4 linked regions of the Anolis sagrei genome follow. The protein of the gene in region 4 purifies or fractionates together with the protein of the main gene of each other region. This does not show direct contact. Links are inferred from orthologs where the notes say so. Each region holds a gene or a part of one and is shown on either strand. Other genes may lie near its edges.

Evidence for each region.
Region 1: the proteins of USP13 (region 4) and SMC3 purify together in Homo sapiens (affinity purification with mass spectrometry; 4 studies listed by BioGRID and IntAct, with this or other methods). This does not show direct contact. The link is inferred for Anolis sagrei from reciprocal best matches to the Homo sapiens genes USP13 and SMC3.
Region 2: the proteins of USP13 (region 4) and SMC1A purify together in Homo sapiens (affinity purification with mass spectrometry; 5 studies listed by BioGRID and IntAct, with this or other methods). This does not show direct contact. The link is inferred for Anolis sagrei from reciprocal best matches to the Homo sapiens genes USP13 and SMC1A.
Region 3: the proteins of USP13 (region 4) and BAG6 purify together in Homo sapiens (affinity purification with western blotting; 3 studies listed by BioGRID and IntAct, with this or other methods). This does not show direct contact. The link is inferred for Anolis sagrei from reciprocal best matches to the Homo sapiens genes USP13 and BAG6.

Annotation. Positions count from the first base shown.
Region 1 is NC_090023.1:209,665,854-209,674,029, forward strand, and holds the start of SMC3 (structural maintenance of chromosomes protein 3), read right to left. Parts: upstream 3,347-8,176; 5' UTR 3,257-3,346; coding exon 3,242-3,256; intron 863-3,241; coding exon 787-862; intron 1-786. UniProt on the Homo sapiens protein: Central component of cohesin, a complex required for chromosome cohesion during the cell cycle. The cohesin complex may form a large proteinaceous ring within which sister chromatids can be trapped.
Region 2 is NC_090022.1:175,069,706-175,077,144, forward strand, and holds the start of SMC1A (structural maintenance of chromosomes protein 1A), read right to left. Parts: upstream 3,232-7,439; 5' UTR 3,078-3,231; coding exon 2,969-3,077; intron 135-2,968; coding exon 1-134. UniProt on the Homo sapiens protein: Involved in chromosome cohesion during cell cycle and in DNA repair. Central component of cohesin complex. The cohesin complex is required for the cohesion of sister chromatids after DNA replication.
Region 3 is NC_090022.1:19,009,538-19,016,851, reverse strand, and holds the start of BAG6 (large proline-rich protein BAG6), read right to left. Parts: upstream 3,195-7,314; 5' UTR 2,883-3,194; intron 2,696-2,882; exon of another isoform or gene 2,593-2,695; intron 1-2,592. UniProt on the Homo sapiens protein: ATP-independent molecular chaperone preventing the aggregation of misfolded and hydrophobic patches-containing proteins.
Region 4 is NC_090023.1:257,655,592-257,663,659, reverse strand, and holds the start of USP13 (ubiquitin carboxyl-terminal hydrolase 13), read right to left. Parts: upstream 3,326-8,068; 5' UTR 3,167-3,325; coding exon 3,002-3,166; intron 1-3,001. UniProt on the Homo sapiens protein: Deubiquitinase that mediates deubiquitination of target proteins such as BECN1, MITF, SKP2 and USP10 and is involved in various processes such as autophagy, endoplasmic reticulum-associated degradation (ERAD), cell cycle progression or DNA damage response.

The sequences.
Region 1 (8,176 bases), about 48 Mb from region 4:
ACCAGCATATCTGGAAGTGTACACAATAGTAAATGCATGACCTAATAAAAGTGCCAATAGTTCTTCTAGTTACACTAGCAATGGATAACCCTTGATTCTTTCCTCTTTTGCCATATAATCTGTTCAGGGTGGCTAACTGACAGACAAAAGAATCCGGAAATAATTTTCAGTATCTCCCAGCTATGGTGTGGAAGGATTTGATCTACAAGCATATTGAGGAGACATTAGTTAGTCACTGTATGAAAATCTAGGGCAGGGGTCATCAAACTAAGGCCTGGGTGCCGGATACGGCCCTCCAAGGTCATTTACCTGGCCCTCGCTCAGGGTCAACCTAAGTCTGAAATGACTTGAAAGCACATAACAACAACAATCCTATCTCATCAGCCAAAAGCAGACCCACATTTCCCATTGAAATGCTAACAAGTTTATATTTGTTAAGATTGTTCTTCATTTTAATTATTGTATTGTTTTTAAGTGATTTTGCACTACAAATAAGATATGTGCAGTGTGCATAAGAATTTATTCATTTTTTTTCAAATATACAGTTTGAGGGACTGTGACCTGGCCCTCTGTTTAAAAAGTTTGTGGACCCCTGATCTAGGGGCACTAACCCATGAAATTATGTAACATTAAAAATAACAACAAATGTGCCAGATAAGAAAAAGCAATCAGATAAGAAAAAGCAATCAGTTTCATTCTGAATAGGAAGAAATATATCAAATGTCAATTTCATCTCTAAAAGTTATACTTAAATGCTGCATAAGCCTTTGTATTACAGGAACTTACCAATGACATTATGCTTTGAACTGAAAGGATCTACTATAGTCTGATCTCTGTAGCTGCGAAATCCTTGGATGATCACCTGAAATAAACACATTTATGTTAAATAAACTTTCATAAATACAATTTATTATCAACTACAGCTTTCAAAAGTACAATGTCTCAAAAAGGATAAGAAGTAAATTTGCTATATTCATTTCTATCATTTCCACAGTACGTACAAAAACAATACAATTACCAGGTACCACGTTGTGATGGTAGCCTGCTTCCTGCACTTTCATTATGCAGCCTTCAAGAACAGGTGAAGCAAAACTATGAGTGTGCAATCTCGTTAAGATTAAATGTTAAATTCGGTTTTTAACAAAATCTTCAGAATGAGATTTCAGCTGTAGTTGAGACAGAAAGTCTTGATATATCAGTGTTTTTAGATTAAAACTCATGATTTTTAACTAAAGCTTCAGAGTTATTTTAATCTTCTAGAAGGGGAAAGCATGGTACAAAAGCATCTATACTGCAGAATTACTGCAATTTGACACCCATTTAACTCGCATGGATCAATGCTCCAGTATTCTAGGATTCATAGTTTGATGAGAAGACTTACAAAGACCTTATAACACTGAAACTCCAATGATTGCATAGCACTGTGCCACAGCTGTTAAAGTGGTGTCGAAATGCATGGGTTATATAGTGGTATATTAACTCTGGATCCTAAGCATTCTGGACAAGAAATACTCTGGCCTCTGGTGCCTTTCACAATGCCCCTATACTCCAGAATCTGATCACAGATTATCCTCTTATCCCAGATTATCTGGCAGTGGAGACTCAGGCCCCTTCCACACATCTGTATAAAATCCACATTGAACTGGATTATATGGCAGTGTGGACTCTGATAATCCAGTTTAAAGCAGATATTGGTTCTGTTGGCTCTGTTGATTTTATTGGTCGCATAATGATTTTAATAACTAATTTAAATGAATGTTAACTTGAGGTTTTATATACATTTATATTTATTTTTTACGTTAGATGTAAATTAATTGACAGGTTATGTTATTATTTAATTTCTGGTTATATTATATTGTTTTTAAATGTTTTTTGCACTACAAATAAGATATGTGCAGTGTGCATAGGAATTCATTTTTTATTATAATCCACTCCTTTGAAGACCAATGTTAACAAATATAAACTTATGAGTGTTTCAATGGGAAGTGTGGGCCTGCTTTTGGCTGATGAGATACGATTGTTGTTATTGTGTGCTTTCAAGTTGTTTCAGACTTAGGTTGACCCTGAGCGAGGGCCGGGTAAATGACCTTGGAGGGTCATATCCGGCCCCTGGGCCTTAGTTTGAGGACCCCTGTCCCAGAATATCAAGGCAGAAAATCCCACATTATCTGCTTTGAACTGGGTTATCTGAGTCCACACTCAGATAATGTGGGATTTTCTGCCTTGATATTCTGGGATATAGGGCTGTGTGGAAGGACCCTGGGTTATCTGAGTCCACACTCGGGGCCCTTCCACAGTCCTATATCCCAGAATACCAAGGCAGAAAATCCTGCAATTATTTGCTTTGAACTGGGTTATCTGGGTCTACACTCAGATAATGTGGGATTTTCTGCCTTGATATTCTAGGATATAGGGCTGTGTGGAAGGCCCCCCAGATAACTGAGATTTTTTGCCTTGATATTCTGAGATATAGGGCTGTGTGGAAGGGCCCCAGATAATGTGGGATTTTCTGCCTTGATATTCTGGGATATAGGGCTGTGTGGAAGGATCCTGGGGGTTATCTAAGTCCACACTCAGGGCCCTTCCACAGTCCTATATCCCAGAACATCAAGGCAGAAAATCCTACAATATCCGCTTTGAATTGGGTTATCTGAGCCCACACTCAGATAATGTGGGAGTTCCTGCCTTGATATTCTGAGATATAGGGCTGTGTGGAAGGGCCCTCAGCCAGCACCAACAAGCATCAGATGAAGCCTAATCTGCAATGCCATATAATGCAGTATGAAACTACGTTATATGGTCAGTGCAGACTCATATAATCGTTTAACTACACCGAACTGCATCGCATGGTAGTGTAGATGAGGCCTGCGTGTCGCCGTCGTCGTCCCACTCCCCTCCCAATGTTCATTACATTTTGGAAACTTTAGGTTATTGTGGGAGATAAAATAAAAGATCAACCAGCCGAGGCCTCAACTTTTCTTGTTTACCACTTCATTTTACCACAGAAAGTAAACAAGGCCCGCCGGTGAGGCTGAATCCCCTGCTGATGCTGTCATTCTACAGAGAACGAGGGCCTCAACTGAGTCTCAGGGCCTGGCTTTCGTCGCCTCAACACCCCCAGCCCCCCTTTTTTTTTTACCCCACCAGTCCCTCGCTTTGCAGCCATGAATTCTTCCCAACCGTCCTTTATTGTTTCCAAAGAAAAAAAAAGCCTCCCCCTCACAACCTGAGGGCCTCCTACCTGCTTGATATACATGGCGGCGGCGAAAAGCTCCCTCCTCCCCGTCACTGCGCCCACCGAGAACAAAATGGCGGCAAAGCCTCCCCCTCCCGTTCGCTGTGGAACGTACCACTCTGCAAAGGAAAAGAGGGGAGGATCGTTGGCGAAAACGCAGCAAAAGCCTCGGAAAGAGGCAGAGGAAACGGGTCAGACCTTCCCAAAAGACGAAGTGGTTGCTGTACTTGTGGTGACTGCCCTTTATTTAAAATCGAAGCTAATAAAGCACCATCTCTGCCTCCCCGTTCGGTAGGATTTTGGTTCGGCCCGGCATGAGCGAAATAGGGCGCCAAAGCCAGTGCGGCCAATAGGAGGGGGAGCCTCAGGGAGGAATAGGCGGCGCGATTGCAGGGAGCGCAGCTGCCGCCAGAGGGCGCTGTTTTGCGACTCGCAGAATAACAACATTTTTTTTGTCGTGTCAGGAGCGACTTGAGAAACTGCAAGTCGCTTCTGGTGTCAGAGAATTGGCCGTCTGCAAGGACGTTCCCCAGGGGACGCCCAGATGAACTGATGTTTTTATCATCCTTGTGGGAGGCTTCTCTCATGTTCCCGCATGAGGAGCTGGAGCTGATAGAGGAAACTCATCCGCCTCCTCCGGATTCGAACCCGCGACCTGTCGGTCTTCAGTCCTGCCAGCACAGGGGTTTAACCACCGGGGGCTCCATACAACAACAACAATAACAACAACAACAACAACAATAATGCATGGATGTGCGCCCTCTGTCAGCTCCAGCTCCCCATGTGGGGATATGAGAGAAGCCTCCCATAAGGACAGTAAAACATCAAAAACATCAGCGCGTCCCCTGGGCAACGTCCTTGCAGACGGCCAATCATCTCAGACCAGAAGCGACTTGCAGTTTCGGATACAAAAAAACAACAACAGTAAGGCAGTTACTGAAAATCCAGTCACTGACCAACATGGTCAGAATCTTCAGCACTGACATCAGTATGGAGTTCCTTCCATAAGTTCCAAAAGAGCCAGAATGGCTTTATTATTATTATTATTATTATTATTATTGCAGCCCAAGAACAAGCCATTAGAACCAGTGCCATCAAAGACAGAATTGAAAAGTCTACCACTGATTCCAAGTGTAGATTCTGCAAGGAAGCAGACGAAACAATGGATCACATCCTCAGCTGCCGCAAGAAGATTGTGCAGACGGACTACAAGCAGAGGCATTACTCAGATGGTCCATAGGAAACTTGTGCCACAAATACCATCTGCCTGCAACAAAGAACTGGTGGGATCACAAGCCTGAAAAAATTACGGAAAATGAACACGTCAAATTACTCTGGGACTTCCGAATTCAGTCTGACAGAGTTTTGGAGCACAATTCTCCTGACCTTACGATCGTGGGAAAAAAACAAGTATGAATCATTGATGTTGCAGTACCAGGTGACAGCAGGATTGACAAGTAGCAACTAGAAAAAGTGACACAATGTAAGGATTTAAAGATCGAACTGCAAAGACTCTGGCACAAACCAGTAAAGGTGGTCCCATTGGTGATCAGCTCACTGGGCGCAGTGCCTAAAGACCTTGACCTGCACTTAAAAACAATTGGCACTGACAAAATTACGATCTGTCAGCTGCAAAAGGCCACCCAATTCAGATCTGCATGCATTATGCGACAATGCATCACACAGTCCTAGACACTTGGGAAGTGTCCGAAGTGTGAACAAAAACAAAAGTCAGCGTAGTGATCTTGTTTGCTGTGTACTATTATGTTATAATAATAATAATAATAATAATAAAAATAATAATAGGGCCCCCTGGTGGCACAGCACATTAAACCGTTGAGCTGCTGAACTTGCTGACTGAAAGGTTGGCGGTTCGAATCCGAGGAGCGGTGTGAGCTCTACTGTTAGGCCCAGCTTATTCCAGTCTAGTAGGTAGATAGGTAAGGTACTCCATGCAGTTATGCCGGCTACATGACCTTGAAGGTGTCTACGGACAACACTGGCTTTGCCTTAGAAATGGAGATGAGCACCAACCCCCCGAAGTCGGACACGATTAGACTTAATTTCAGGGGAAACCTTTACCTTAATAATAATAATAATAACAATAACAATAAACTTTTTTTGTATTTCGTCTATCTTCCTGATGGGACTCAGTTTGAATTCCAACATATATGAAAATACATTAAAACCTAATATCGAATTAAAGCCTAATATCACCTAACAGTGCAGGTGATGCAGAGCATCTTCCCCCCCAAGTATTTGTAGTTCACCAAGGGCCGGAAAATGGATTCTGCTGCTTCCTGACCCAGCACACATAACTGGGTTCCTGTTTCCTCTCTGTGAATTCTCTGGCTTGTGCACTGGACCCTGGCCCCTGATCAGGGAAATGCAGTTCCCCAAAGGACATTGCCCCACTCTCCACCATTTTAGACTCTTTGCGGACCTTTCTGCCCTCACTGATTGACTTGATGTCCTATTATCACGAACTTCCTCTACGAACTCAAGGCCAAGCCGCTTGGGGAGAATGGCCCCCGCCTGTGTGTGTGTGTCCTTGCCAAGCAGATCATACCTCAGGAACTCTGATGAATTGCTTTTGCCAATTGTTGTTGCTTCTAATAAACTTTGCTGGGATGGGGATGGGGATGGGATGGGGACCCCCCTTTATGAAATCTATGAGCTTATGAAAGTTTATGAAGAATGTATATGATATGGAAAAATATGAAATCTATGAAATGTACCCTGACCCTCTCCCCCACCTTTTCTCCCTCTGAACTTTACCCTACTAAAGTATGTGACCTGGGATTACAGTTAAGGAAATCCAATTTCCTTGGAAGAAACTCCATTCATATTTACATTGCATGGACAAAGACTGGCAGATCTATGGCTTTGTTTTCAGAGTCAGACGAACAAAAGCCAGAAATCTGTCAGCCAAAAGGCCCGGAAAAACAGACTGATTAAATCAATCATGGTGTTTTGTGTACGCTCCCCTGTGACAAAGGACTCCCTTCGCCACAGGGTTGAGATCCAGACACCACCCATAGCCACCCTTTTTTTTCCTATACACATCCTTTATCGGAACCCAGGAAATCCCTTGTCTCCCCTTCCGCCTCCCTGCCGTGCGAAGAACAAAAGGTGTTCAATCAGCTGGCGGACGCCTCCAGGCAAATCCGCCCCTCTGCGCTGTCAAGATACGTCCCGCCTCCTGGCCGCTGATTGGACAGTCTCCGGAGGCGCTCCAAGGGCTCTGATTGGCCCCCTGGAAGCGACAGCGGCCGGCGATTGGAGGGAAGGCGGGACCAGCGGCCAAGCCTCCTCCCAGCTGTTCTGGAGCCGGCCAATCAGGACAGAGGGAACTGACAGGAGGCGGGCGGGAGATTCAAACCAGGATTTCTTTGTTTTGCCTGTATAAATATACCTGAAATTCACTGTACTGCATGCTTATAGAGGAAATATCCCTGTAATGCATCCTTTTCAGCTGAATCGCTAAATAAACGCTTCGGTCACTGGATACCTCTTCAGCCTCTGGTGGGATTAATTCTTAATATTTTGCGCTTTGGATTGGCTTTTGCTGGCAGCTCACCAAGGTCAAAGATCCCTTTTGCGATCTCCAGGGATCTTCCCCGCTGGGAAGTCCCTCCCAAAAGAGCTCGATATCACAGGCATAGAGATGCTAAATAGACAAACCATAAAGTGCAATCAGCCTGAAGCCTATAAATATCTGGGCACACTACAGCCAAACAATATCAAACACGGACATGTGAAAAATGTGGTCAGCAAAGAATATGTCCAAAAACCACGATGTAGGGATGCTATACTGTATATGTACAGTATCGCTCCACTTACTCTCCCCCCCCCTCCTCTCTCTTTCTCTTCCTCTCCTCTTTCCCCCTCTCTTCCTCCTTCCCTGCCCATCCCTTTGCTGGAGCCACCCTTCTTCCCCCCCCCCCCCGCTTCCCCACTGGCATGGGGCTCTCACCTGGTCACCCGAGGAAGAGCGACCAGGAAGAAGCCGTGATGGAAGCTGCCTTGGCGGTGGCCTTCTCCACCTCAGAAGAAAGAAGAAGAAGCCCCGGTGGAAGCTGCCTTGGCGTCCCTCTCCGTACCTCTCACCAGCGCTACTTCGGCAAGTGGGGTTTATAGATCTGTGTATATAGTGTTCCCTCAGGACTTGTATTTTAAATTAATTTTTTTTTGGAAAAACCGTGAAACAGTGAGTCCACAGGAAGCAAACTGCAGAGTACTGAGGGAACACTGTATTTTGGAAAAAATACAGGTTCCTCGTATAATTTATTTTGAAAGATTGAGAAATGTTGAAGAACAGAGGTGCCAGAGGACTGGAGAAGAGCAAACATTGTGCCTCTCTTCAAAAGAGGTTGAAAAAAATCCAGGGAACTGCAAACCACTCAGCATGACTGCACTATCAGGAGAAAAAAAATGAATTGATTATAAAGGAGTCTGTTTGCAAGGGTTTGTATGACTCTGCATGATTACTGAGAGCTATCATGGGTTTGTTGAGAGCAAATTTAGCCAAATTAATCATACTCGTTTTGATCTGGTCACTAGTTCACTAGGTGTTAGGAATGCTCTAGAATGATCTAGGTCCCCAGGTGTTTTGGCCTACAACTCCCAGAAATCCCAGCCAGTTTACCAGCTGTAAGGATTTTTGGAAGTTGAAGGCCAAAACATCTGGGGACCCACAGGCTGAGAACTACTGCCCTAGATGTCTTATCTGGAATTCAACAATGCATTTTATACATTTCTTCATGATTATTTAGTTAGAGAACTGATTGAATGTGGAATAAATGTAAACACTGTGAAATGGAGCTGTGATTGGTTGGAAAACTATGTTCAAAAAGTCACAATCCATGTCTGTTCTTTGAAGTAGAAGGAAGTCTTCAATGACGTTCTATAGGGCTGGGTGCTGGGTCCATCCCTTACTAT
Region 2 (7,439 bases), on a different chromosome or scaffold from region 4:
GCTGACAAATGCCCGGTTGGCAGCTGGCTTTCCCACAGGAGCCCCATGGATCAAGTCCCTTAAGGTCTTCACTCTCAAATTACTGGTCTTCTCACCAAGCACAAAGCTGATAGCATCCATGAGGTTTGATTTCCCTGGTTAGATACAGCAAAGACAGAACAAATTGAAACCATGTTATCAATATTATGTTGATGTTTTCATTGTCACAGTTTCTTAGTCTCAAGATTTTAGCAACGAATAATAAAGACTCCGAATTATTACTGAAGAAGGTAAAGGAAGCAAATGCAAATGTTAGTTTACAGTTGAACATAAGAAAACAAAAATAATGACCACAGATAACCTTCATAACTTTAAAGTTAGACAAACTGATTGATTGAATTATTTTCTTTGTTTTTAAATGTTCAAGGAGCTCCATTGGCTGCTGTTTATTTTCCAAGCCCAATTTAAGGTGCAGGTGCTTACCTACACAGCCCTAAATGGTTTGGGACCATCCTACCTACGTGACCGCATCTCTGTTTATGAACCTACACGTTCTCTTCGTTCATCCGGAGAGGCCCTGCTCACGATCCCACCTGCGTCGCAGGCATGTCTGGTGGGGACGCGAGACAGGGCCTTTTCTGTGGTAGCCCCCTGACTCTGGAACTCCCTCCCTAAAGATATCAGACAGGCCCCTACCTTGGTAGTCTTTAGGAAGAACTTGAAGACCTGGCTGTTCCGATGTGCCTTTCCAGAATAGGAAAACTCCAGTAACATGTCCCAGAAGCACTTTATTAGAGTTTAAGATTGCCCGCACACTGCACTTACCCTAAAATCTGATATACCACCTGCCACATCAGCCTGTACTCATTTTAACCTGTACCCATTACATTGGCCCGGCCCTGTTTTCTTGTGTTTTGGTATATTGTTTTATTGTTTTGTTGTTTGATATTGCTTTAATTGCTTTGATTTGTTTTAAGTTGTGTATTTTGTTATGCTATGTTTTTATTGAGGCCTTTGCCTGTGTAAGCCACATCGAGTCCTTCGGGAGATGCTAGTGAGGTACAAATAAAATTAATAATAATAATAATAATAATAATAATAATAATGTAATGTATTGCATATGTATGTTGTAAACCGCTCCGAGCCTTCAGGGAGTGGTGGTATATAAATTCGATTAATAAAATAAATAAATTAAAAATTAAAAAAACACTGAAATAGTTCTATACTTTGCCTCACTCATTAAACAGAACGCGCTGCAGTCAAGAAATCAGAAGAAGACGAAGGCCCCTTCTATACTGCCAAATAAAATCCAGATTATCTGCTTTGAATTGGATTATATGGCAGGGTAGACTCAGGTCCCTTCCAGGATCGGATCCCACGTTTTCTGCTTTGAACTGAATTATACGAGTCTGTGAAGCCGAGCACCCCCCCCCCCCCCAGAATGGGGGATGGTGACTTGTAGCCCTGCAAAGGGCAAGCGCACCAGACTGCACAGTAAGGGGTTAAGTCTTGGTCACATTGCCAAGGCACTGACAACAACAAGGACCCCACGAGGCTTTTGGGAAACGGCTGGATCTTGGGACTTCTGCCCTTCGTGAGAGTCGTAGTTTCCCAAGGACCAAAGTGTGAATCAGTTGCAGCACAGCTGGGGTTTCATCTGCTAGCCTTCCCAATGATCATGGACTCTCTGCCTGCATGTCTTGGACTTCAGTACATACTATCTCCCTCATGAACTTTCCTCAAAGACCTTTTAAAACATTGGACTTCAGGCTTCTTCATGAAAATTAATCCTCTTATTAAATATATTTGGGATGTGGGACAAAGATGGGGTTTTGTTGCTATGAAATGCTTATGATTTGAATGTATGTATCTTGCTATGAAATACCTTTTGCCCCCTTTACCCTTGCCCAAAAAAAGGCGACCAGGAAAAACCACTCAGTGCCTGAGGGGGCTGTTGTTCCCTCGAAACCAACCTTATCACAGACATTTGCATGTACAATAGCAACTGGAAATTCTTTGTTTATTTTTTTCTGAGTTGGCCTGGTAAACAGGGAATTTCTCTGATCACATTTTAATTTAATCACAAAGGGGCGAGACTGGCCCCAGGGGTCTTCTTGCCCTGCTCTGTTTGTTTCATCCAAAAACCTATCAAAACCAACACACCTTATCTGATCCTGGAAGGGGAAAACCTGAATCAAATGATTATCCCTAATCACTGATCCATCACAAGAACAAAAAAACTGGTTTCCTTGGCTGGCTGATCCCTCGGGCAAAGGACAGTGGAATGTCATCATCCTCTCTGGACACAATGCCCCTCTTCCGTCCTGCCTCCCTCTCCCTGATTTGCTAAGGAGCCGAAGAGGGAGGGAGTTTTGAAACTTTCAAATCTGTATTTTGCTATAAATATGCCTCTGATCAATGTATTGGTATGCTTGCATGTGAATGATCACTGCAATTGCATCCGCTTCAGCTGAATCGCTAATAAACCTCGGTGCCACTTCTTCACCTTGGCAAGAGTCTCATTTCAATTATTAATATCAATAAAATTGCTGGAATCAGGCTTCTTCTGACGGCTCGCCAAGGACAAGGGACTCTCTTTGGTGCAGTCCTAGGAGTCTCTTCTACCGGGGAGACTCTCCCAAATTCAGGCTCAATATCATCTGCACTGCCAGATAATCTGGGATAAACAGAAAGCCTGGAATAAAGGGCCTGCCTGGAAGGACCCTCAGTCTACAGGTACTGAGTAGTGTGACTGAGCATTTGACTCTTAGGCCCCTTCTACACAGCTGTTTAAAATCCATATTATCTGCTTTGAACTGGATTATACAAGTCCACACTGCCCTATAATCCAGTTCAAATAAGATAATCTGGATTTCAAATGGATGTGGTAGGACCCTGGGTTATCTGGACATGCTCCCTACTCTACCCTTCCCTGAAATGCCATGCGATTCGGTGTTGTGTCCTTAGATCCCGGGGAGGCCCGCCTTACCGGATCCATTGGGCCCGATGATGGCCGTGAAGCTCTGGAAGGGCCCGATGATTTGCCGCCCTTTGTACGATTTGAAATTCTCGATCTCGATCAGCTTGAGGAACCCCATTCCGCGGGTTGGGGAAACGGGGGGGAGATAGAAAAGGTGGACGCAAAGCAAAACTACGGGGCGCGGTGGGGGACACAAGGCCCCGTAGGCCCCTCTTGATTACTACTCTCGGCCGCCGTCCACGAGAAGGGCGGGAGTCTTGAAACCTCGCGAGAGTTGATTACGGCTCACTTTAGGCTCCGCCTCTTACGACATCGCGGTCGCTGATAGGATGCCGCTGCCGCGTAAAATTTGCATTCGGAGCTCCTCCCCTTTTCCGCCTCAGCTCAGCAGGGGACCTCCTTCCTGCGGCAAGCTCCGCCTACTCCGAACTTCTCACTGTGCTGATAGGTTCGAGCGCAGCCAATGAGCCCTTTCCAAAGATGACATCATTTAAAGTGGCTCGTTGTCACAGCAACCAGAAAGCAAGCGCCGTCTAGGAAAGGTGAGCATCAGGCGAGTCGGGTCGTGCAGAGGAAGGGGCCTCTGATCAGGTTGCCTACACTTTATGGCACTACAAAGCCCAGCAGCCCTGGCCTGTTGAGAGATGCTGGGAGTCTCAGTCCAGAGGCGGAATTATAGCATCTTATTAACTGCCATGGCTCAATAATATAATATATTGTATATACATATAATAATGATAATATTATAATGTAATACAATATAATACTACTAATAATATGATAATTATATATTTTATATTAAATGTAATATTACTAATATTACAGTATAATGTTATAGTACAATGTTATATATATATAATGTAATGTTTGTTTGTGGGATTAACAGAACTCAAAACCCACTGGATGAATTGACACAAAATTTGGACACAAGACACCTAACAACCCAATGTATGTCCCTCACTCAAAAACATGATTTTGTCATTTGGGAGTTGTAGTTGCTGGGATTTATAGTTCACCTACACTCAAAGAGCTTTCTGAACCCCACCAATGATGGAATTGAACCAAACTTGGCACACAGAACTCCCATGACCAACAGAAAATACTGGAAGGGTTTGGTGGGCAGTGTCCTTTGGTTTTGGAGTTGTAATTCACCTACATCCAGAGATCACTGTGAACTCAAACAGTGATGGATCTGGACCAAACTTTGTGAATTATGACCAGGAATGTTTTGACGATGTGGCTGTGTAAGTGTGATGATGACGGTGTTGTATTGTAATATGTTTTTAATTGTGTAATGATAATACATTGTGTGGTTTGTATTTTTGTATACGAACACATGTTGTGAACCGGATCTGAGTCCCTCTTGGAGATGAGAAGATCGGTATAGAAAACTTTTAAATAAATAAATAAACTTTACATGAATACTCAATATGCCCAATTAGGGAAAATAGAATCTTAACATTTGGGAGTTGTAGTTGCTGGTATTTATAGTTCACCTACAGTCAAAGAGCATTCTGAACCCCACCAACGATAGAATTGGGCCAAACCTCCCACACAGAACCCTCATGTGGGCCACAGCAACACTTGGCAGGGGACGGCTAGTAATATTAATATTGTGCTATGGTAATAATATAATATAATGTATTTATTTTTTGCTTGTAAGCCGCTCTGAGTCCCCTTCGGGGTGAGAAGGGCGGCGTATAAATGTCGTGAATAAATAAATAAATAAATGCTATGGGATTCTGGGATTTGTAGTTTTGTGAGATACTTCCCCTTCCCTTCCACACAGTCATATAATCAAGAATATCAGGGCAGATAATCTACAGTATCTGCTTTGAACTGGATTATCTGAGTTCACACGGCCATATAATCCAGTTCAATGTGGATTTCATACAGCTGTGTGGAAGGGGTCAGAGGGCTCTGGTGCCACAACAAGAAACGAATCCCAGGATTCAATAGAATGGAGCCATGGCAGTTAAAGTGACTCATCACATTGTGGATAGTCACTGAGGCCCCTTTTACGCTGCCATATAATCCAGATTATCTGATCTGAACTGGATTGTTTGATTAGGTACCAAAATATGTTTCTTTTAACACAGAGGATTATGAGCCATGTAAATTAGTTTTTGAGAAACAAATAGATGCTTTGAAGGAAATCCTCCCTCCAAGGAATAAGGGTATATTTTTGCAGATACTACTTATGTGGTGCTTATAATGTCTGAAGCTCTAGATTCCATCTAGGAGTAGGGAGAAATACGAGGGTTGAATTAAAAGTAATGCCTCCACCTTCGAAACTCTTCAACAGATGGCAGTACTGGTATGCGGCAGGTACTGGCTTGTTCAGTAGACTCTCCTCTACAGTTCCATTTTGGCGGGAAGCCTTAGCATTGAATGGTTGTGTTGTTAAAGTGCAAAGTATGGAACCCTGTGCAGATGGTCGGTCAATGCGACTTAAGCAACGTGCAGTCATTGAATTCTTGACAGCAGAAGGTGTCACCCCAAAGGAGATTAATCAGAGAATGCAAGCTGTTTATGGTGGTTGTGTTGATGTGAGTACTGTGCATCATTGGGCGAGTGAGTTTAAAGATTTTGAGGTGGGAACATCTGACTTGCGTGACAAACAAAGAGTTGGACGTCCTGTGACAGCAAGCAAAAGGTTGACAGATTGATTAAGGACAATCGTCGTATCACTCAGAGAGAAATCTCAAGCATAATCGGCATTTCACAAGAACGTGTGGGTCACATTATTGCTTTGCTTGGCTATCGGAAGATCTGTGCAGGATGGGTCTCGGAAACAAAGTGTCGACTTCTTCCATGATGGCTTCAGAAAAATTGTTCATTGTTGGCAGAAATGTATCCAATGGTCTGGTGATTATGTGGAAAAGTGAATAGTGGTAGCTAAAGAGCACATTCTAAGGATTATTTCTGCATTTGATTTATTAAAATATTCCCATCCAAACCCAAGTAACAAAGGTGGAGGCATTACTTTTCATTCAACCCTCATATATATATATTATATAATGATGAGTCTACACTGCCATGTAATCCAGTTCAAAGCAGATAATCTGGATTTTATATGGCAGTGTAGAAGGGGCCATAATATAAGGCTGATTACCCTTTAATTGGAATTCTGAAATTCAAAATGCTCCAATTGATAATGTGCTATTTCATGAACAACATTTATTTTAAAATATAATGCACTCAGTTATTTTCAAGCACTAGACATATAAGATGCATGTGAAAAATCACTAAATGTTTATGGATGGTTTCAGGTGGCCCATCTCTGTGGTGTGACTTTAAAAGTATTTTGCTTGAGACTCTGGACAACTACAAGCATTTAGTATAGTAAACATTAAAATAGATTAGTATACATACAGTCCTTGAGTTACGGACAAGATAAATTCTGTAGGTTTGTTCTTAAGTTGAATTTGTATGTAAGTCAGAACAGGTACATTTTTTAAAATGAAACTCCAGTCCATTTGCTTTGGATAGCATAGGGAAGGGTGTTTGTTTTGCTGTCTGTGCCCCTGTTCAAAAGATTGCCCCTCACTTTCTGTCTCTGTGATAATTGGATTTTGAAAAATGTGGCTTGTTGTGGAAGCAAGAATTGGAGAGAAAGCTTCAGGTACTTCTACACTGCCATATAATCCAGATTATCAAAGCAGATAATCCACAGAACTGGATTATGTGAGTCTACACTACCATATAATCAAGTTCAAAATGGATAACCTGGATTTTATATGACAATTTTAGAGTGATGATCATTCCTTGCGTTAGTAGGTGTCTTGTGGCCAAATTTGGTGGCAATTTGTCCAGTGGTTTTTGAGTTATGTTAATCCCATAAACGAACATTATATTTTTATTTATATAGACTAGCCGTCCCCTGCCACGCGTTGCTGTGGCCCAGTCTGGTGATGTGGAAAATAAAGTAATGAGAAAGCATTGGTTTCTAATGTATGTAATTTTGTAATGTATGTAAGTGCTTTTGGGTAAACAGTATTTCTTGTTGTTTCTTTGTCAGTGTTGATGTGGAGATTGTCTGGTTTGACTACTCTTGAATATGCAATATATCATAGTCCTTCTTTAGGGGTCCCTTTGAAATCTATGATACTATATCTGTATCTGTACTATATCTGTGTGTGTGAATCATATCTATCTATATTTATGACTGGATGGCTCTTTGTCAGGAGGGCTCTGATTACATTTTCTTGTCCTGGTGAAGAGAGTTGGACTGGATGGTCTTAAGTATTTTCTGTTGCTCATGGGGATTCTGTGTGGGAAATTTGCCCCAGTTCTGTTGTTTGTGGGATTCAGAATGCTCTTTGATTGCAGATGAACTATAAATCCCAGTAACTACAAATCCCAAATGTCAATGTGTATTTTCCCCAAACTCCATCGGTGTTCATATTTGGGCATATGGAATATTTGTGCCAAGTTTGGTCCAGATCCATCATTGTTTGAGTCCACAGTGCTCTCTGGA
Region 3 (7,314 bases), on a different chromosome or scaffold from region 4:
TCTGGGGTTGGTAGGGGGTGAGGTGGTCCCTCAGGTACATCAGCTCCAGACCATGCAAGGCCTTAAAGGTGAGTACCATCACTTTGAAAGTGATCTGGTGCTCAATTGGTAACCAATGCAGCTGTAGTAAGATTGGTGTTATGTGGCATCTCATCGGAATTCCCGCAAGAAGCCGAGCAGCTGCATTTTGTACCAACTTGAGCTTCCGGATCACCGACAGAGGAAGGCCAATGTCGAGGGCGTTACAGTAGTCCAGTCTTGAGATGACCATAGCCTGGATCACCGTAGCTAGGTCGTCCCTGGACAGGTAGGGGGCCAGCCGTCTAGCCTGCCGCAGAGTTGAACAGGTATCCCCCAGCACCACTTTCTGCATTCGGTCCTCTAGGAAAGAACGGAGCCAATGTAAAATAGTGCTCCCTAGCCCCATCTCAGTTGAAAGGATACCACGGTTAATGGTACTGAACGTTGCTGAGAGGTCCATGTGAACCAACAGGGACACACTCCCTCTGTCTAGCTCTCTTTGTAGATCATCCGCTGAGTTGACCAATGCAGTTTCAGTTCTGTATCCAGACTGAAAGGGTTCCAGAAAATTGGTATCTTCTAAGAAACTGTGGAGCTGAGAGACTACCACTCTCTCCAAAACCTTGCCCAGGATGGGGAGATTTCAAACTGGCCATTTATTATTTAATTGAGTAGGGTTCAGTGCTGGATGTTTTAGCAAAAGGTTTTACTACAACCCCTTTAAGGTGAGCTGGAAAAACAGTACCTCCTAATCTCATCCCAGCAAGACGAGCCAGAGGATGATGGGAGCTGCAGTTTACCCAAATCCTTATGCAATTACTTTTTCGAATGTTTATCCTTACCAAATGCCTAAACTAGTTTATTGTATACATTGCTTCCCAACATTCGTTCTTCATTTTAGTCACCCTCCCCTGGACACATTCCCGCTTGTCAATATCTCTCTTGAATTGTGGTGCCCAGAATTGGACACAATATTCCAGGTGTGGTCTAACCAAAGCAGAATAGAGCATGGGTAGCATGATTTCTCTAGATCTAGACACTATGCTATTGATGCAGGCAAAAATCCAATTGGCTTTTTTTGCCGCCATATCACATTGTTGACTCATGTGATGTGGCGGCAAAAAAAGCCAATGGGATTTTGGCCTGCATCAATAGGAGCATAGTGTCTAGATCTAGGGAAGTCATGCTACCACTCTATTCCGCTTTGGTTAGACCACATCTGGAATATTGTGTCCAATTCTGGGTACCACAATTCAAGAGAGATATTGACAAGCTGAAATGTGTCCAGAGGAGGGCGACTAAAATGATCAAGGGTCTGGAGAACAAGCCCCATGAGGAGCGGCTTAAGGAGCTGGGCATGTTTAGACTGAAGAAGAGAAGGCTGAGAGGAGATATGATAGCCATGTATAAATACGCGAGAGGAAGCCACAGGGAGGACGGAGCAAGCTTGTTTTCTGCTTCCTTGGAGACTAGGACGCGAAACAATGGCTTCAAACTACAAGAAAGGAGATTCCATCTGAACATGAGGAAGAACTTCCTGACTTTGAGAGCCGTTCAGCAATGGAACTCCCTACCCCCCCCCCCCCAGAGTGTGGTGGAGGCTCCTCCTTTGGAAGTTTTGAAATAGAGGCTGGATGGCCATCTGTCAGGGGTGCTTTGAATGCAATTTTCCTGCTTCTTGGCAGGGGGTTGGACTGGATGGCCCATGAGGTCTCTTCCAACTCTTTGATTCTATGATTGGGCCACAGTAACGCGTGGCAGGGGATGGCTAGTATACATATGGATGTGTGTGTGTGTGAATTATATCTATCTATATCTATGGCTGGATGTCTGTTTGTCAGGAGGGCATTGGTTATTCTTTTCCTGCCCTGGTGAAGGGAGTTGGATTGGATGGCCTTAAGGCAGCATTTCTCAACCTGGGGGTCGGGACCTTGTGGGGGGGGGATGCAAAAGGGTGTCAGAAGGATTGCAAAAGACCACCAGAAAACACAGTATTTTCTGTTGGTCATGGGAGTTCAGTGTGGGAAGTTTGACCCAATTGTTGGTGGGGTTCAGAATGATCTTTGATTGTAGGTGAACAATAAATCCCAGCAACTACAACTCCCAAATGTCAAGGTCTATTTTCCTCAAACCCCATATTTGGGCATATGGAGTATTCGTGCCAAGTTTGGTCTGGATCCATCAATTGTTTCAGGATACAGTGCTCTTTAGATGTAGGTGAACTACAACTCCAAAACTCAAGGTCAATGCCCACCAAACACTTCCAGTACTTTCTGTGGATCATGGGAGCTCTGCGTGCCATGTTTGGTTCAGTTCCATCATTGGTGGAGTTTAGAATGCTCTTTGATTGCAGGTTAACTGTAAATCCCAGCAACTACAACTCCCAAATGAAAAAAATCAATCCCTCCAATCTCATTCAAAGTATTCAAATTTGGGCATTCTATGATTCTATGATGGGAGCTGCAGTTTACCCAAATCCTTATGCAATTAATTTTTCGAATGTTTATCCTTACCAAATGCCTAAGCTAGTTTATTGTATACATTGCCTCCCAACATTCGTTCTTCTCCTACCTGTCCCCCTCCTCTGTTCCCTTCCCGCCGAAGAGGAACTAATTCCAGCTGAAAAGCCTTGCTTAGGGCTCCCAAAAGAAGGAACTTCCGGTCAGACCAGGCATGGGCAAACACACCTGGGACAGACGAACCTAGTTAGGAAAACCTCAACCACAGACCCATGAATAGGAGGAAACTCTACAGCCAAATCCCTTTCTATCTTCAAAGCGGGCTTCTTCTATTTCTGTTAGAAAGAACAGGAAGATCGGGAAATCCAAAAAAACGGAAGTGAATCCTATGGTTGTCTATACCTTCCTAGCTCTAAGAACTCGCACCTCTCCAAAATGGCGGCGCTTCCGGTCCCTTCAGCGGCAACCACCCAGCGAGGGGGGGAGGGGAATGCCTTCGTCGCCGCCGACTTCCCCGGCGTTTTCTCTTTCTCGCGGGACGGCCCTTTCCTCCCCGAAGTCTTAGGAGGCTACGAAGCCGTCGCAAGGGGGCGAAACGGCCGCCTCCCTCGCGCCTCGGAGCGAGTTCCTCCTGGAAGTGTTGCCGTCGTCTCAGGCTCGCCCTCACTGCGCATGCGCAGCCAGCCCCTTGCTCAAGCCCCCGTTTCCTACATATAGCTGTCTACGTTAGTGCCTGCCTGGGATTGTTTCCCTATCATATCAGTACCCGCCTCGAGATGTGATATAGATCGTGGACATTTGACGATATTAAAAATATGGCCGGCATCCTATTATAAAGTCTTAAGGACTCGATATTAGTCAAGCCCCGGTAGGGGGGTTTGGCAGAGCCACGCATGCGCACTGCTTACTCGTCGCAGGCTAGGCTTTTTCCCCCTCTTTGTGACGTCATTAACGCTCACGCAAGCTGGCGAACAGAAAGGCGAGGAAGTCTTGAGCCGCCATGACACTTGAGGGCATGTCGCTTCCGCCATCTTTGTTTCGGTTCCCCGCACATTCAAGCAGACAGCGTTTCCGCTTCCGTTTTTCCTTCCTAGCCATTGTACAGCCTGCAGAAAGATAGCAGTTTCGACACTTCTTTGAATGCTACCTACACTGAGTGGGATTTGCACTTTTATGAAATATTTATTAGCATTCTCTGCCAGAGAACTCTAAATGCCTTGTAATAAAAGAACTCCTAGGGGTAGCCTTGCAGCTGCAAAGCCTGGCTGTTGCTGCCTGGAGGTATCCCTTGTCTGGGAGGTTGTGGTGGACAACTCTATATAGGGACCATATAAAGATCGATCACAATGGAGGAGACGTGGTTTTTAAAAGGGAATTTTCAGATATTTCCCCAATGCCCATATGTCATGATTTACGACCATATTGGCCTATTTCTGCAGTAGGCCTTTGTTCACAGAAAATGCTGATTGTTTGAGAAATCAGTGCTCCAAAGAAGAAGTTACTATTCAAGGATAACAGTATATCCGGACAAAACCAGCTAGCTGTTTGCTAGATAGAACCCCCAAGTTTCCCAGTCGCTCTGGAGCCATGTTTGCAACAGACTAACAGATAAGATACAGTTATGGTCAGAGAACAATGGACCATAGTTATGTTATAGTTGTGCCATTGTTAGGATCCCACGTGTGCTATAATGTCAATCAAAATCATAAACAACTAATGAACAACTGCATAGCTAGCTTAGACCAATGAAATGATTTGTCTTTGGGAACCAATGAAAATGTATATTCCATTTACTATAAATGTTTTGCAGACCCATTGGGGGTGGCGATGATGGCGGGGGGGACCCGCCATTGACTGGTCTGCACTTCAGCGGAGAGTTCCGCAGTTCCTGGTTGTCACAATTGGAAGAAACAGGTGAAATGTGCTCCAACAGGCAGTTCAATAACAAGACTGCACTCAGCCTTTCCTCGCTTTCCCTTCTGCCTGCCTTGTAACATTCCCCTAATAAAAGTACTTGAAACTTGCAACTTTTTATCTTCCCGCATGCTACTTTTGTATCCTTTCTTGACTCTAACAAAATAACATTGCAATAAACCTTTTTTTTTGGGCTCCGGAGAGCCGTGAGCCCGCGGGAGGCGCCTCCCGGACCCCGGATCTGTGTTCGCCCAATCAGCGGATACAGAAACCGCCATTTCAGACCCCCTTATCCACGAAAACACCTAAGATGGCGGATCGCCGCCGTTCCAATTTTATAATTTTCTACAACTAATTCTAAGACTAACTGTCATCTCCCTTTTCTCGTTTTGGGCTCCTTCACCCGGGAAAAATTAGTTTTGTTTTAAGTATTTTATCTTGCAGAGAAACAGCTGATTGTCAATTTGACTGGGTTTTCCACTCCTCCGCGGCAGCGCTCACTCCCGCTTGGATCCAACAGCCAGGGACCCACTGCGGCCACTCGCAGGAGTCCCGGAAAGGCGGCCAGGCATGGACCCTGGCCCCTGATCAGGGAAATGTAGTTTCCCAAAGGACATTGCCCCACCACTTGCAGTTTGGAAATTCTCTTTGGACTCTTTTGCCCTCACTTATTGACTTTCTGCCTTATTACCTTGGACTGTTTCCCTGCCACACTTTTGGACACGAACCTCAGACCGGGCTTGCCTGGAAGGACAAGCAGCCTCAGCCTACATGCGCCTTCACCAAGAAGACTATGATTCCGACAAAATGAAATGCATTTATTATTGTTATTGTTTCTAATAAACTTTGCTGGGATGGGGATGGGAATTCACTCATGAAATGTATGAAGTATGTGAAGCATATAAAATGTATATAGTGGAATATCATATAAAATGTACCCTGACTCCCCTCCCCACCTTTTCCCTCTGAACTTCGCCCCAAAAGGAATGTGACCCAAAGATTACTGCCAACAGAGAGGAAATCCTTTGTCCTCCAAAAACCAGTCCATATCTACATTTGCATGGGCCCGTGATTGATTCTGTCTCGAGGCTTGTTTTCAGAGCAGACAATGAGATGAGAGATGGGTCAACAAGACTCAGGAAGAAAGATTGATTAACTCAATTTGTGGTGTTTGTTGATCCCCTGAGGTCCGAACGCCGTCAATAGCCCCTTCTTTCACCTTTTCATATTTTCTCCCAAATCCAATCATGGGCCGGGGGAAACCCATTGTCCCCCTTGTCTGCCACTCCATCGATAAGAACAAAGGCCCAGTAACAGCTGGCTGATGCCCCCTGGGGCATCCCATTTCCCCCGGATTGCCAAACTTCGTCCCGCCTCCTGTCTGCTGATTGGACCATCTTCGGAGGCGCTAGGAGGCAGCAACGCTTGCTGATTGGTCAAGAGGCGGGACATGCGGCCAAGCCTCCTCCCAGCTGTTCCGGGGCCAGCCAATCAGGGCGAAGCCGGCTGACAGAGGGCGGGTGGGATTTTCAAACTGTTTTGCCTTTGTTCTGACTGTATAAAAATGCCTGGAACTTCTGTGAATGTATGCTTGTATGTGAACTATCACTTTTCAGCTGAATTGCAGAAATAAACGCTTCGGTCACTGGATACCTCTTCAGCCTCTGGTGAGATTAATTCTTAATATTTTGCGCTTTGGATTGGCTTTCGCTGGCTGCTCACCGAGGTCAAAAGACCCCTTTAGCGGTCTTCAGGGATCTCCCCCGCTGGGAGAGCCCCACAAAAGAGCTCGATATCAGCGACAAACCCTTTGATCGCATCCCTGTATGCTTGTTTGTCGTTATTGCTATGGCCACGCAATAATAAATAGTTTTTTGCAATTTAAAGGATTCAACTTTCGTGGTGTCCATCCTTGCCCTCCCTATTGGAAAGGGGGCTTCTGCCTTTTGGGAAATATTCTGGTTTCGTTGCCCCTACAACAGATCAAACGATACACCAATGCTGCCACCAATATTATACCTGGATCACTTAATGGATCCCGCTAGCTGCCAAATCAAATTATAAAGACTTATTTACTTATTTACTTTTGTTTAACAGGGAGAAACATAAACTGTGTAAGTTTTTGTCTGTATAATGGATGATGACTGAGAAATATTGAAACTGTTCTTCTGTTTGGTTATGCTGCCAACTTTCTATTTTTAGTGCTGAGGGAAACCAAGTAACATTTCTTTATGTTACAATGCTGTTCGATCTCGCTTTAGAGAGGTTATATTTTTATCTAATATATTCACACACAGTCTGTGGTAGTGTGAAAATAGAATAACAAGTTTATTAAACAGTCTTGAAAGTATTTCAGGTACAAAAAGCTTATCGGTTGCATTAAATAGTACAGTTTTCAGTTTCAGTCACAAATTCAAAACTGGGAATTTATATTTTCCCCTCAAAATAGATTCTTCCCTACAAACAGCGCAATACCTCAGGGACTGTCTAGCTATAGTCCTTCCTATGAAGTAACTATCTAGAATCTATTTCCAAGTTAGACTTCTTCCTCATTCTTCACTGCTATTCCTAATCTAAAACTGCTCTCTCCTAACTATCCGCTCCAACTCCCTCCTCTAACACACACAAGCCTCCAGATTTTAAAACGCTACTTTTTTCCTGTCAGCTTTTCCAAAGGTCCGCCCCCTTTCTCTACACCAATCCCCCTTTCTCTACACCAATCCCTCATAGGTCATCCAATCCAACCCCCTGCCAAGAAGCAGGGATATTGCATTCAAATCACCCCTGGCAGATGGCCATTCAGCCTCTGTTTAAAAGCTTCCAAAGAAGGAGCCTCCACCACACTCTGGGGCAGAGAGTTCCACTGCTGAACGGCTCTCACAGTCAGGAAGTTCTTTTTAATGTTCAGATGGAATCTCCT
Region 4 (8,068 bases):
TCTAGAACATGGCCAGACAGCCCAGAAAACGCACAGCAAAAGCACTAAAGAGATAAACCCCACTTGCCTAGTTTCCAACAGACCTCACAACCTCTGAGGATGCTTGCCATTGGTGTGGGCGAAACGTGGGGAGAGAATGCTTCTGGAACATGGCCAGACAGCCCAGAAACCTCACAGCAAAAGCACTAAAGAGATAAACCCCACTTGCCTAGTTTCCAACAGACCTCACAACCTCTGAGGATGCTTGCCATTGCTGTGGGCAAAACGTGGGAAGAGAATGCTTCTAGAACATGGCCACACAGCCCAGAAAACTCACAGCAAAAGCACTAAAGAGATAAACCCCACTTGCCTAGTTTCCAACAGACCTCACAACCTCTGAGGATGCTTGCCATTCGTGTGGGCGAAACGTGGGGAGAGAATGCTTCTGGAACATGGCCAGACAGCCCAGAAAACTCACAGCAAAAGCACTAAAGAGATAAACCCCACTTGCCTAGTTTCCAACAGACCTCACAACCTCTGAGGATGCTTGCCATTGCTGTGGGCAAAACGTGGGAAGAGAATGCTTCTAGAACATGGCCACACAGCCCAGAAAACTCACAGCAAAAGCACTAAAGAGATAAACCCCACTTGCCTAGTTTCCAACAGACCTCACAACCTCTGAGGATGCTTGCCATTCGTGTGGGCGAAACGTGGGGAGAGAATGCTTCTAGAACATGGCCAGACAGCCCAGAAAACGCACAGCAAAAGCACTAAAGAGATAAACCCCACTTGCCTAGTTTCCAACAGACCTCACAACCTCTGAGGATGCTTGCCATTGGTGTGGGCGAAACGTGGGGAGAGAATGCTTCTGGAACATGGCCAGACAGCCCAGAAAACTCACAGCAAAAGCACTAAAGAGATAAACCCCACTTGCCTAGTTTCCAACAGACCTCACAACCTCTGAGGATGCTTGCCATTGCTGTGGGCGAAACGTGGGGAGAGAATGCTTCTGGAACATGGCCAGACAGCCCAGAAAACTCACAGCAAAAGCACTAAAGAGATAAACCCCACTTGCCTAGTTTCCAACAGACCTCACAACCTCTGAGGATGCTTGCCATTGCTGTGGGCGAAACGTGGGGAGAGAATGCTTCTAGAACATGGCCAGACAGCCCAGAAAACGCACAGCAAAAGCACTAAAGAGATAAACCCCACTTGCCTAGTTTCCAACAGACCTCACAACCTCTGAGGATGCTTGCCATTGGTGTGGGCGAAACGTGGGGAGAGAATGCTTCTGGAACATGGCCAGACAGCCCAGAAAACTCACAGCAAAAGCACTAAAGAGATAAACCCCACTTGCCTAGTTTCCAACAGACCTCACAACCTCTGAGGATGCTTGCCATTGCTGTGGGCAAAACGTGGGAAGAGAATGCTTCTAGAACATGGCCACACAGCCCAGAAAACTCACAGCAAAAGCACTAAAGAGATAAACCCCACTTGCCTAGTTTCCAACAGACCTCACAACCTCTGAGGATGCTTGCCATTGGTGTGGGCGAAACGTGGGGAGAGAATGCTTCTGGAACATGGCCAGACAGCCCAGAAAACTCACAGCAAAAGCACTAAAGAGATAAACCCCACTTGCCTAGTTTCCAACAGACCTCACAACCTCTGAGGATGCTTGCCATTGCTGTGGGCAAAACGTGGGAAGAGAATGCTTCTAGAACATGGCCACACAGCCCAGAAAACTCACAGCAAAAGCACTAAAGAGATAAACCCCACTTGCCTAGTTTCCAACAGACCTCACAACCTCTGAGGATGCTTGCCATTCGTGTGGGCGAAACGTGGGGAGAGAATGCTTCTGGAACATGGCCAGACAGCCCGGAAAACTCACAGCAAAAGCACTAAAGAGATAAACCCCACTTGCCTAGTTTCCAACAGACCTCACAACCTCTGAGGATGCTTGCCATTGGTGTGGGTGAAACGTGGGGAGAGAATGCTTCTGGAACATGGCCAGACAGCCCAGAAAACTCACAGCAAAAGCACTAAAGAGATAAACCCCACTTGCCTAGTTTCCAACAGAACTCACAACCTCTGAGGATGCTTGCCATTGGCGTGGGCGAAACGTGGGGAGAGAATGCTTCTAGAACATGGCCACACAGCCCAGAAAACTCACAGCAAAAGCACTCAAGAGATAAACCCCACTTGCCTAGTTTCCAACAGACCTCACAACCTCTGAGGATGCTTGCCATTGGTGTGGGCGAAACGTGGGGAGAGAATGCTTCTGGAACATGGCCAGACAGCCCAGAAAACTCACAGCAAAAGCACTAAAGAGATAAACCCCACTTGCCTAGTTTCCAACAGACCTCACAACCTCTGAGGATGCTTGCCATTGCTGTGGGCAAAACGTGGGGAGAGAATGCTTCTGGAACATGACCAGACAGCCCAGAAAACTCACAGCAAAAGCACTAAAGAAATAAACCCCACTTGCCTAGTTTCCAACAGACCTCACAACCTCTGAGGATGCTTGCCATTGGAGTGGGCGAAACGTGGGGAGAGAATGCTTCTGGATCATGGCCAGACAGCCCGAAGAACTCACAGCAAGAGCACTCAAGAGATAAACCCCACTTGCCTAGTTTCCAACAGACCTCACAACCTCTGAGGATGCTTGCCATTGGTGTGGGCGAAACGTGGGGAGAGAATGCTTCTGGAACATGGCCAGACAGCCCGGAAAACTCACAGCAAAAGCACTAAAGAGAACATGCAAAGCCAAGGAAAGAAAAGCTAAATGTGGTGAGACCCATGTGCAAGGGATCTCTCTGCAGAAATCTTTCCCAGACCCCAAACACTTCTCAAAAGCCAATTAGGAGAGACAGTCCTAGGAGAAAGTACCATGCGACCCCCTGGAAAGGGGAATGGGTGGCCCCGCCAAGGCCTGGAAGCAAGTGTCAAGGGAGGGAGGGGGTCTCTGGAAAAAGGCAAGGGACCCACAGCCCAAAGGAGGCAAGGAAGGGAGGAAGGGACTCACCGGCGAGTCGTAGGAGAAGGCGCACTCGGCCTTGTAGACGCGGTCCCCGGTCTTGGGCACCCGGACGGTGGGCATGTAGGGCACCAGGAGCTCGCCCACGTCCCCCGCGATCTCCGGGCCCACCGCTGCCTCCCGCCCGGACCCCAACAGTGCCGCCCGCTCCATCGCCCCACAGAGACAGAGAGAGAGAGAGAGAAAGCCCTCCTGGCCGGACGAGAAGCAGGAGGAGGAGGAGGAGGGAGGGAGGCTATCTTTAACCCGGCGGAAGACGGAGGGAGCCGCAGCTGCCCAGAGAGAAGCGCCAAGGCTCCTCCAGCCACGCCCTCGGAGCCTGCCTCCTGGCCCCCGAGGGAGGAGGAAGGGAGAGGCACTCTGCACATGCTCAGAGGAAGCCTCGCCAGTCACTCCCAGGCTCATTCCTGGGGAAGGGTGCGTTCCTGGGCAACCAGAGTTGGAAGAGACCTCATGAGCCTATGGACTGATAGGAATTGTGAGAATTGAAGTCCAAAACACCTGGAGGGCCTAAGTTTGCCCATGCCTGCTTGATATTCATATTCCTACTAACATTTATTCGTTTGAAGGTCCAATGAGGTCAATTGTATTTATCCCTGAAGCTTGTTTCCCAATGTTACTGGTTCACACACATCCAGAGGTAAGGTTCTGTATTGAGATCAAACTGTGTTCAGTCTTGACTTCAAAGCACCATCCATTGACTACAGATCCCTCCCTTTATTCTCATTGTGGGCAGTCCAGATCAAGACTCTGTATCTGGAGTAAAGAATTTGGCGGGGGGGGGGGGGGGGTCTTCTTTCATTTTCTTTTAACTTGCCATCAGAGGCGGCCCTAGGCAATTTTCAATGGTAAGCGAACAGTATTTTGGCGCCCCATCCTCCAACCAATCATTGATATATATATTTTCTGTTCATCGTGGGAGTTCTGTGTGCCATATTTGGTTCAGTTCCATCATTGGTGGAGTTCAGAATGCTCTTTGATTGTAGGTGAACTCTACACAGGGGCGGCTCAACCCATTACGCAAAGTAAGCATTTGCAGTATAGTCGATTTTGCCCAGGGGCGCTCTTGAGGCACTCTTGGGGGAAAATAGACCTTGACATATGCAAGTTGTAGTTACTGGGATGTATAGTTCACCTAAAATCAAAGAGCAGTTGTAGTTACTGGGATGTATAGTTCACCTAAAATCTAAAATCAAATTGAAGAGCATTCTGGTGGAATTCCAATGATGGAATTGAACCAAATATGGCACAACCAAATCCCATGACGAGCAGAAAATATATATCAATGATTGGTTTGGGGGGGGGGGGCACCAAAATACTGTTTGCTTACCATTGAAAATTACCTACGGCTGCTTCTGACTATACATCCCAGTAACTACAACTCGCATATGTCAAGGTCTATTTCCCCCCAAGAGCGCCTCAAGATCACCCCTGGGCAAAATCAACTATACTGCGAATGCTTGCTTTGCGTAATGGGTTGAACCGCCCCTGCTTGCCATCAAACTCGGATCACATCAGATACCCCTGCAAATTCAAAATCGATGCTATTTGCATGCTGGCCCTTTATTTTTGCTATGCAATCTCATGGGCCCAGGGATTCAAACTCACATTATGCACTCGTTGATTCCTATAGAAAGAAGTAAAATCAATGTCGGTCTCAGTAGTCACCTGAGGGCTGAGAAAAGCGGTATATAAATGAAGTAAATAAATAAATAAATAGTCTGCGTCAAAAGCATTCACTGTGACCAGGAGAGTTCCACAATCTCATCTATCCTGTAAAGATTATTTATTTCTCACAATTCCTCACAAAACAAGAACTTACAGACAGGGATATACATATGGAGCATAGAATCCTAGAGTTGGAAGAGACCTCATGGGCCATCTGGTCCAACCCACTGCCAAAATGCAGGAAAATTGCATTCAAAGCACCACCAACAGATGGCCATCCAGCCTCTGTTTAAAAGCCTCCAAAGAAGGAGCCTCTACCACACTCCAGGGCAGAGAGTTCCACTGCTGAACAGCTCTTACAGTAAGGAAGTTCTTCCTCATGTTCAGGTGGAATCTCCTCTCTTGTAGTTTGAAGCCATTGTTCCATATCCTAGTCTCCAGGGCAGCAGAAAACAAGCTTGCTCCCTCCTACCTATGACTTCCCCTCACATATTGAACTATGGCCTTCATCATGTCTCCTCTCAGCCTTCTGCAGGTTAAACATGCCCAGCTCTTGAAGCCGCTCCTCATAGGGCTTGTTCTCCAGACCCTTTTATTTTAGTCACCCTCCTCTGGACACATTCCAGCTTGTCAATATCTCTCTTCAATTGTGGTGCCCAGAATTGGACACAGTGTGATTCCAGGTGTGGTGTGACCAAGGCAGAATAGAGCATGGGTAGCATGACTTCCCTGCATCTAGACACTATACTCCTATTGATGCAGGCCAAAATCATCATTGGCTTTTTTGCTGCTGCATCACATTGTTGGCTTATCGGAGTCTACAAGCTAACCATGCCTTGTCAGATTGCCCATCCCACAACAGGGGATTCAGTTTGGAGGGTTCTGGGAATGGCAGTCGGAGAAGACACCCCCCACCCCAATGTTAGCCCCAGTTTCTGCCAACCAAGCAGTTCGAAAACTTATAAATGTGATTAGATCAATAGGTACCACTTCTGCTGGAAGGTAATGGAGCTCCATGCAATCATGTTGGCCACATGACCTTGGAGGTGTCTACGGACAATGCCAGCTTAGAAATGGAGATGAGCACCACCCCCCAGAGTCGGACACAGCTAGACTTAATGTCAGGGGAAAGCTTTACCTTTTCCTCTTGAGGCTGAGAGAATGTGACCTCCCCATGATCACCCAATGGATTTCATTCAATGCTAAAACAACTCCATCACACTCCTCCCAAAATAAATAAGCACGCTTGCTCACAGAACGACAAAGCACAGCAGGAGAGGTATTTGAGATATGATACTGAAAAGAAATATTGTAGTTCTGTCCACCTTTTCATTTTTCTTTTGAATTAGAAAATTCTGAATCTCATGCTGGAAAGCCAACCCTATGGCACAAGGGCAAGGCCATGTGGTACTTATGGGCATCATCAATGTCATCTCCTTCCTTTATGGGCCGTTCACTTGCAGCAGAAAGTGAGATGCCAGGAGGGAAGAGTAGGCCTCAAAGAGACATTTTGCTAAGAAGAAAATGTGATAAAGCAGACAATAGGGACAATGAGAGAAAAATATCAGAAATGGCAGCTGTCACGTTGAATAGGAGTTACTGTTAATGCCAGAAGGATGGCTCAGGTACCTGTTTGGTATCTGAACCTTACATGAACCAGCCTTCCTTCTTGTGCTGGGCTTTTTTCTCCCTGCTTGAGAACCATGAGACTTCAGCTGGCATTTTCAGAATGGGAAATGCTGGAAGTTGTAGTTTCTAAATGTACAGTGATCCCACCATATTTGCTGAGATTGGGGAACAGGGCCCCCAGGAAAGTAAAAAACCAACAAAACATGAATATTTGGGTTTTTAAAAAACTTGAGTAGACATCTCCCTAGCAAGCCCTCCAGTTCATAGAATCATAGAATCGAAGAGTTGGAAGAGACCTCATGGGCCATCCAGTCCAACCCCCTGCCAAGAAGCAGGAATATTGCATTCAAATCACCCCTGAGAGATGCCGCCACATCACATTGTTGGCTCATGTTTAACTTGTTGTCCCCCATTCTGTATCTTTGCATCTCGTTTTTCCTGCCAAAGTGGAGTATCTTACATTTGTCCCTGTTGAACTTCATTTTGTTAGTTTTGGCCCATCTCTCTAATCTGTCAAGATCGTTTTGAATCCTGCTCCTGTCCTCTGGAGTATTGGCTATCCCTCCCAATTTGGTGTCATCTGCAAACTTCCTAATGTTTAGGTGGCATCTCTTCTGCTGATGTTTGAATCCATTGCTTTGTGTCCTAGGGCCCTTCCAGACAAGCCCTATATCCCAGGATCTGATCCCAGGTTTTCTGCTTTAAACTGGATTATATGAGTCCACACTGCCAGATAATCTGGGATAAACAGAAATCCTGGGATCAGATCCTGGGATACAGGGCCTGTCTGGAAAGGCCCTTTGTCTCAAGAGCAGCAGAAAATAAGTTTTTCCCCTTCAAATATTGTAACATGGATCTCTTGTCCCTTCTCAACCTTTTCTCCAAACTAAACATTCCCAGTTCCCTAAACTGCTCCTCACAGGACTTGTCTTCCAGAACTTTTGCCACTTTGGTTGCCTTTCTCTGGACACGTTCCGGCTTGTTCCTTCTGAAATTGCGGTGCCCAGAACTGGACACAAAGTTGTTCCAGGAGAGGTCTGAGATTTGTAATTTAAAATTCCATAGAATGCATCCGTGAAAATGGAATTGCAGTGCAATGGATGTAGTGTCAAAGGACACTCAGTACCAAGTCAGTTCTGCTTTTTCTAACATCCAGATGCTCATAAATTCTGATCAGAACAATGAACTGAAACAAAATACTCTTCCATTTCTAGAGGATGTGCCAAATATTGCTTTTTATTTCTTCCATATTTAGATTGTACAGCTTGATACATTCTGAACTGAAGTTCTATTCATCGCTAAATAAGAATAGGTGGCCTTTGAGGTTGAATAAATGCTGCCCTCTAATGGTTTGAATAATTTCCACATCCACTTTTGGGGGGAAAACAGGTGTAGGTTGAGTATCCCTTATTTGAATTACCTGGACCAGAAATAATCTGTATTTCAGTTTGCATATTTATTTATTTACAGTATTTATGTATGTGTTTGTTTGTTTATTTAGAACATTTGTATCCCGTCCTATTCACGACCTCCGAATAGGGACTCAGGGTGGCTTCCAACAATATAAAAACACCAATAAAATACACAATTACATAAAATGGTAATAAATATACATTTAAAAACGGTTTGCCAAGTTTAAAGCGTGCTCCAAACCAGTCCAAAAAATGTGGTCCATACAATCTCATCTAAGCCAATTAAAACCATCTATTCTGCGAATGCTTGCTCCCACAGCCACATCTTAAATGTCTTGCGAAAAGT